Danio rerio: one gene and its partner. The protein of the gene in region 2 purifies or fractionates together with the protein of the main gene of each other region. This does not show direct contact. Links are inferred from orthologs where the notes say so. Each region holds a gene or a part of one and is shown on either strand. Other genes may lie near its edges.

Region 1 (3,828 bases), on a different chromosome or scaffold from region 2:
ACCTCGTCATCTGTCCACAAAAATACCTCTCTTGCTTTCTTTGCCATCGCGTTTAATGTTCAACCGGCGTTTGTTAACCAAATAACCAAATGCCAAGTGAGACGCATGCTTTCTGTTTACACCAGAATGCGCATGCCCTGAGTGTGCGAATGGTCACGTGATATACGATTTTGGTGGCGTAGTGTGGACGGAGATATGTTCGGAGACACAAGGTGATACGCTAGTGTGGACACGGATCGTTTTCGATCTAAAACGCACTAGTGTAAACGGGGCGTAGTTATGCAATCAAAAGTGAGCAGATGTTTTTAGTCAGTTTTAATTATTTGATAAGTGAATCTAAAATGTACATTAGGTTGCATGAAAGAACCCCAAAAGCTCTACTGAAAAACCCAAATAGGAAAAACAAATGATTATTACCTATATCTGGGTTGAAGATCTCCTCTACAACCAGTTGAAAGAATTCTTTGGATACTCCTCCCTCATCTACACCTTGCTCACCCTCAAACTCCACATACAGTTGTTTCTTCAGGTCTGCTGGGTTTTCCATGGCAATCATCTCCAACTACAACCAATTACATGTTTATTTTATATAAATTATTCACTTCTTTGAAACCGCATTCATCATCTGAGCTTTTTGGCACTTACCCTGACAAGAGCATCGTCTATGATGTGGTCTCTGCGCACTTTGAGACGCAGATAAGGGTTTAGTTGCTGTCCTTGCACCAAACTATAGAGGGCAGTAATCCTGCGCTCGCTATACATGCGGATCCGGTTGTCATAGTACAGGCCCAGATTCTTAGTCACAGCGTTAAGTATGAAAGGGCAGGTCATAAAGGAGAACTTGCTCTCTGTCTCCACCTTGAAGAAGGTATAGTCTTTGTCCATTTCCAGCACCTCATTGAGTGGTTCATTGATGAACTCCTCGAATGGGATGAGGGGTTTTCGACAGTCCGAGGCACGGATGCCCATTTCTGTCTCTAGCGGATCCACTCGAGGGCCTTTTTTATTGCGTCTCTCCTCTCCCAGCAGCTCCTGCAGCGTCAGCTCGCTGGACTCAGGGATCGGTTCATCGTCGTCCTCCTCATTGTGATCCGTGTCTAGGTCGCCGCCCAGCACGTTTGCATAGTAGACGATTTTCAAGCACTTGGTGGCTGCCACCACACCATCATCCTCATTGACTAGGTTATCACTGCTGAACTCGTTGCTGATGACCGTGTAGGTAATAAGCTGCTGGAAAGTCTCGACCAAACGTCGGATCTGGTCCACACCGTACTGCGACCACAACCGTGCAAGCTTGGCCAGAGCCGGAAGAGGTAGCTTGCTCATGGCCTTGCAGAACTGTGGCAAGGCGATTTCTAAGTATTCGGGACTGTGGAGGTTACTGTTCTCCATCACAATGATGAAGACGTTCAGGTAATTAGGGTCAGCGGCGTACACATTGTGATAGGTGAGGTCACACTCTACGTTGGGCGACAAGTAGACTAACGCGTTGAGGAAAGCTGCCTCAATCTTCTCATTCGATAATAATCTGTCGTACACTCTTCTTACAGCATCAATGTCTACAGAAACTTCTACAGGACTCAACTTTTGGACGTTGTTCTCCCCATGAGATGACCCGTCTCCACTTGATGCTGAAGCTTCTGGTTCCACCTCCATTGCTGTGGATGAACCAGAAGCCGTTTCTTTCTCATCTTCATCTTTGTCTTCATCCTTGGCCTGAAGGGACTTGAGCTCTTCCTTGGTGTGTTGTTTTGCTTTGCGGAAACTCTGGACTAGACTCTCTGCACTTGAGAAAACCCGACCAATAACACGGATTAGAGGAGAATAGTCCTCTGTCTCACTGCAGATGCTCAGGATTTCATACACCTTATCCTCAGTCAAGAAATTCAGATCTGCCAAATAAAAAAAAAACATAGTAAAACACTTGAAAGTCAAAGACACAGTTAAAAGACCAATGCAGTCAAACAGAATCCATCCTGCTATAAAGAATGTAAGTATTTTAAGTATTAAGTGTGTGCTTAAGAAATAATGTTGAGCATCTTTGTCCATCTATTAAAAATATACTTGAAATATTACTTACAATTGTAAAGCAATTTTTTCTCTTTAGCAAATTTAATAAAGTTAGGCCCAGAACTGGCCTGGTAAAAGGTTGCACAAACAAAGACATTGGATATCAATTTCAAAATTAATCAGACTGACTGTTGAATCATTTTAGCTGTTTTTATTTGTCATTTTTTCCATTTACAATACCATTATTTACAATATCATGTTATTCTATTCACATTTTATAGCAGACGTTTAGCACATTTTGTCACAAATATGACATTCTGCACTGATTTGGGTCAGAGCTGGGGAAAAACCAAGGACAAGCATAGACAGGCTACAGACTACCATCTCTCAAAGCAAGGTTGCCCAAACTTGATCCTAAAGAGCCACTGTTTAGCTGCTACTCTAATAAACACACCTAACCAGCTAATCATGGTCTTCAGACTAACTAGAAACTTCCAGTGCAGAAACTACTGTGTTGGAGCTAGGGCTGCACGATTAATCGAAAAAGGATTGTGATCTCGATTCTACCTTACACACGATCTTAATTAAGCATCACAAGGATTCAGCCAATTATATTTTGAAGGTCAGGAGAGAAGCGTAAAGACAGGAGCACAAGTCTTCACATTGTTTTAGATACATTGCTCAGGAACATGAACACCTTCAGATGTGAACCTCCATGGTCTCATGGTTCAGTAATAATTATCATGCCATCGATTCAGTTAAATTCGATATCATGCCATCAGTTCAGTTCAATCGCATCGACTATGTTTTCCATAAACAATTTAAATTTTCTGCACAGCACAGCAATTCTTGTATTAAAATGTACAAATATGTTTATAATTATATCATATTTGTAGTACAATTTTGTCCTTTAATACAAACAGTCAGATTTATAAACTGTACCTTTAAAAACTCAAGTATGCACAGAACGTCATGAGCATTTATAGCAAATAAACAAATATAAATATCCTGCTCGCTTTCTGAGCTCGCTAGGAGTTCTTTCTTGCACCCCTATGACTGGTCACGCACTTAATAGAAAGGGCTGCGATTGGCTCTAATGGTCTGGCGCTGTTCACAGATGAATAACACTGATAAACGGCAGCAGCGATCACAACTGATCTATGATAGATGCAGTGAAGAAAACTCACTCTGCACAAAAGCTTATGTTTGTATCCAGAAGTATCGCTGTTACAGCCAAGAGGAAAGGGAACTACCTCATGACAGCAGGTTAAAGGTCCACAGCGAGAGAAAGAGAATGTGTTTCCCTTCAGTTTCTCCATAACAGTGAAACGGGTCTCTGCTGTAAGTGTCAGTGAAAGACTGTCCAGTAAACACGCATGCAGAGAATTGTGCACAGTTTCTTTGTTTTTAAGTAGTTGGAGCGTTTTAAATACTCGCACTTGCCTCCCTCACCATAGTAAGCTACCGCTACATAGCAGGGTCTCAAAGCATATGAGATAAATGACGTCAGTACACAATAACTGGTTATGATTACTACAGAACCAATACCAAATTGAATGCATCTGCATCGTGGTGCACCGAAGAAACAATTAATTTTGACACCCCTACTTGTAGTTGACTTTTTAGCAAGTCGCTCCTCATATAGCAGCCTGTGGTGCTTTTTTAGGTTCTGGTTTTTGTATTTCATCGTTCTGTAACATCTCTTACAAATTACCTGGTTTTGTTTGGTGTCTGTGACTTTGAAACTAAGATATTCCCATATTACCACTGTACTGTTTTTCTTTGATATTAATTTGTCTATTACTGCTTCTGAAGTTG
Region 2 (3,828 bases):
GATTCATCAACACTGCAGATCCAGTTTATACAGCACATGAGATCTGATCTTAAATAAACACACATTACGGTTTTACTTTCTGTTTAAAACAGGGGTCTCAAACTCGCGGCCCGCAGGCCATTTGCGGCCCTCAGTGCAATATTTTGTGGCCCACGCCGACCGCTGTACACTGACAGAATCAGATTCTATCCGTACACAGCGGTCACTGGCATTCCCCGCCCGCCGTGTAAACAAAGGGGCGGGGATGTCGGTGACGTCACCACGCACCCCGCCCCTTTGTTAGACGCTGTGACGGGCGGGAAGTGTTAGGAGGGAACTCGCGCCGGCCAGAACCAAGCTGTTCCCGCCCCTGCCTGCCACTTAGCTACCTAACTGCAGCCTGCCACCTACCGAGCTACAGCCTGCATCTTATATATATTATAGGTAGATACAGACTGGTACAGACTGATGTGACTGGAGTGGGGTGGGGGTGTTTTATTTATACATATATACGCCTTTTTTTAGGTGAGGGAATGGAAGTTTTGAGTGAGTTCCCCCACTTTTTTCCCTAGGACTTCAATAAGTCAAAGTACAGGTCTAGACTTAATGATGATCATCTTCAATCCATACTGAGGGTCTCAACTGCGTCCGCTCTAAAGCCAAATGTGGTTCAGATTTGTGAGAAGAAGCGCTGTCAAGTCTCTGGCAGCAAGAAGTAGGCAAAAGATGCCATGTTCAGAAGAACTGTTCATAATCTTCACTCAATGTTCTGTTAATGTTCAGGACACTTCATGTTCAGAAGAAATAATTAAAACTGTTAATAATGACATTTGAGGACTTTTTTTTTGTGAAATCCCTTATGCGGCCCAGCCTCACCCAGACTTTGCCTCCTGCGCCCCCCAGGTAAATTGAGTTTGAGACCCCTGTAATAGTGTATATGCAGAAGGACTTTAATGTTCAGTAACCCAGCTCAAGCGCTTCTGGTGAACTGTATGCTCTTAAAAAAACGATCACCACATTTAAGACCTGATTTTCCGGACTGACATAGGATATAAAGTTGCTTTCAGAATGTACAAGGAGCACTGCATTACATTACACTGATCAGTGCCGTGTCTTTAAAATATGGATGTTTACTTTACCACAGTATATTCAATGGAGTTTCTGTGCTTGCCTGCTGATCCTGACGGCGCTTGTGTTCACACGATCTTTCATCTCGTTTTACTCTTGAACAGCTAAATGAATGCTGAAGTCTATTCAACTGATTATTATTAAATTACATTACAACACTGATGCTTTAAAAAGAACCTTATGAAACTGAAAATAGTCGCATTAATCTTTCACTGGAAGTTTATCGGTAGGGGAAAACACCAGCAGTAAATATATACCCTATAGATATGTGGGTTTCAAATGACAAAAATAAGTTGAAGTGTTAAAGTCACAGAGTCAGCAGAGTTTAGTTTCACCTGTTCATCACAGTCTGACTCCAGGTAAGTGGAGTCTTTGATTAAGCAGCTGTCGAATCCACAGTCGTCGCTCTCATTCAGACACTCACAACCTGCTTTATTCACGAACGGCATCAGATCCATCTGAGAAACACACAACATCAACACAACATCACACACATAGTCACGTTGATCAGCTGGTTTGTCTAGAATCTGACATATGAGCGATCCGCTGATGAATCGCAGCTTTAAAACGCTCCAGTGTGCCGGTATCTGTGGTTACACTCAGTAAACCGTGGTGAGTTCAGTAAACTGATGACCTTCACGGCCAATCACAGTCATTTCTGTTGAGCACATGAACACAATGGCCAATCAGCAGTGTTTAAGGACATGATCAACAGCGCTCAAATGTTTAATTTCAGTATTAATTGGTACCGAATTCCAGTATTGTGACAACCCTAAACTGTAGAATTACATATAATGACAAAATAATGTTTGGAAGAGTAAATCTATATTTCAAACTGACATCCTACAGAAAAATATAGAAATAATCCCCTTTACCCCTTCATTTTTTTTGGAAATACTGGTGGCCTTTTGCACAGTACTGTATATTATATGGATTAAAGACACTTATGAGAGATTATTTATTTATTTTTTAGATATTTATATATATTTTTATTTTCTAAAACCTTTGAAGAGCTCTCTTACTCTCTCATACACACTATATACACACTATAAAACATATAAAAGACAGAAACTATGCTTTTTTTGCACCGCAACTGATGATCAACAGTACAAATGAATGCATGATTATATGCTGTCATGGCTTTGCAATCAATAAATGTGATCATAATAAAAGTTGATGGGGTAAAAACAGCCCCAAACATAACCAAAGGGTGGAAGATGTGCAGAGTGTATTGTTTTTTCAAAATATGTTTTAAAATAAGGTTTTTCCGCAAAAACAAATAATCCATTTGCTGAAACACAGAGGAAATTGTGACCAAATTAATATTAAAAAACAGCCCAGAGTGGATGAAAACGACCCAACGGCACACTACAGGGTTACACTCATGAATTTCAGGGAGTTTCATTAAATGTGCAGGATTGGTTGGCTGAAACTCACGTATCCTTTAGGAATATCGGAGTCTTCGTTGCTGCCTGGATCGTTCTCCACGTGCTGTTTGATTTTCTCCTCTAGTCCGGAAGCGTCTGCGCCCTGATACTGGTCCACACGCACTTTATTTCGGAAAAACAGGAACGTCGGTGTTGCTGAGATATTATTGGCGGCAGCTGTTGCCTAGGAGACGAGAAAAAAGCCACACAGACATACATTTAGTTAACACTACCAGTGTTATTCTAGCATCACTGAGATACTTTTATAGTTTTTATACTTTTATATATATATATATATATATATATATATATTTTTTTTTTTTTTTTTGCTGACATACACTACCTGACAAAAGTCTTAGTAAGTATTAACTTAAGTAATAACTTAAAATCTGATCATGTCTTGATGTTGACTGATTTGATGAGGACAGTAAGCTCTGACTCTGCTCAGACTAAAGTGTCATCACTGAACAAAAATAATGTCCAGTATAGAATATAAAGTCCTGCTGCAGTGGAGACAGAATGAATATTGTGTCTGACTCCATCATGAGCTTGGAGGACTGCATCCATACATCTCTGACATGACTCACATCACTGATTAATAAAGTCATCTGGAATGAAGAAGAAAGCGTTCAGCAGGACTCCCAGAGCTCAACAAGAGTCTTTGTGCTCATCTTCAACCCCTTCTCCTTCATCAGATCAATAATGTTCATGTCTGGTGACTGGGCTGGCCAATCCTGGAGCAGCTTGCTCCTGCTGGAGAATTGTCCCTCTCCTGTGGTTTGTAATGTAATGGGCAGCACAGATGTCTTGATACCTCAGGCTGTTGATGTTGCAGATCTCTCGCACGCCCCCATACTGAATGAACCCCAAACCATGATTTCTCCTTCACCAAACTTGACTGATTTTTGTGAGAATATTACTCCATGCTGGTTCCAGCAGGTCTTCTGCAGTATTGGTGATGATTGATGCAGATCAACAGATGATCCAGCAGAGAAATCCACCTTCTGACACTTTAAATGATCAACTAGAAGTCGAGTTATTATTTGTTGCTCTTACAACTGAGATCCACCACAAGACTTTTATCAGGTGATGTAGAAACTGAACAGACAGACAAACCAATAGTATAAGAATAATATGAGTAAAATAAAAAAATAAAGCACGACACAAGGGAATATGGCGACATATACGACTTGGCATGGGACGCTAACCGTTTTCAAGGTATAGCGCGGTATGGAAAAGTCAAGGTTTTAAAACCTCCAAAATTTTCTGCTATACCGCTCCTTAGGTATGTAAA

Evidence for each region.
Region 1: the proteins of txnl1 (region 2) and ube3a purify together in Homo sapiens (affinity purification with mass spectrometry; 3 studies listed by BioGRID and IntAct, with this or other methods). This does not show direct contact. The link is inferred for Danio rerio from reciprocal best matches to the Homo sapiens genes TXNL1 and UBE3A.

What each region holds. Positions count from the first base shown.
Region 1 is NC_133181.1:41,328,796-41,332,623, reverse strand, and holds part of ube3a (ubiquitin-protein ligase E3A), read right to left. Parts: intron 1,893-3,828; coding exon 646-1,892; intron 563-645; coding exon 418-562; intron 1-417. UniProt on the Homo sapiens protein: E3 ubiquitin-protein ligase which accepts ubiquitin from an E2 ubiquitin-conjugating enzyme in the form of a thioester and transfers it to its substrates.
Region 2 is NC_133196.1:1,369,010-1,372,837, reverse strand, and holds part of txnl1 (thioredoxin-like protein 1), read right to left. Parts: intron 2,719-3,828; coding exon 2,545-2,718; intron 1,566-2,544; coding exon 1,443-1,565; intron 1-1,442. UniProt on the Homo sapiens protein: Active thioredoxin with a redox potential of about -250 mV.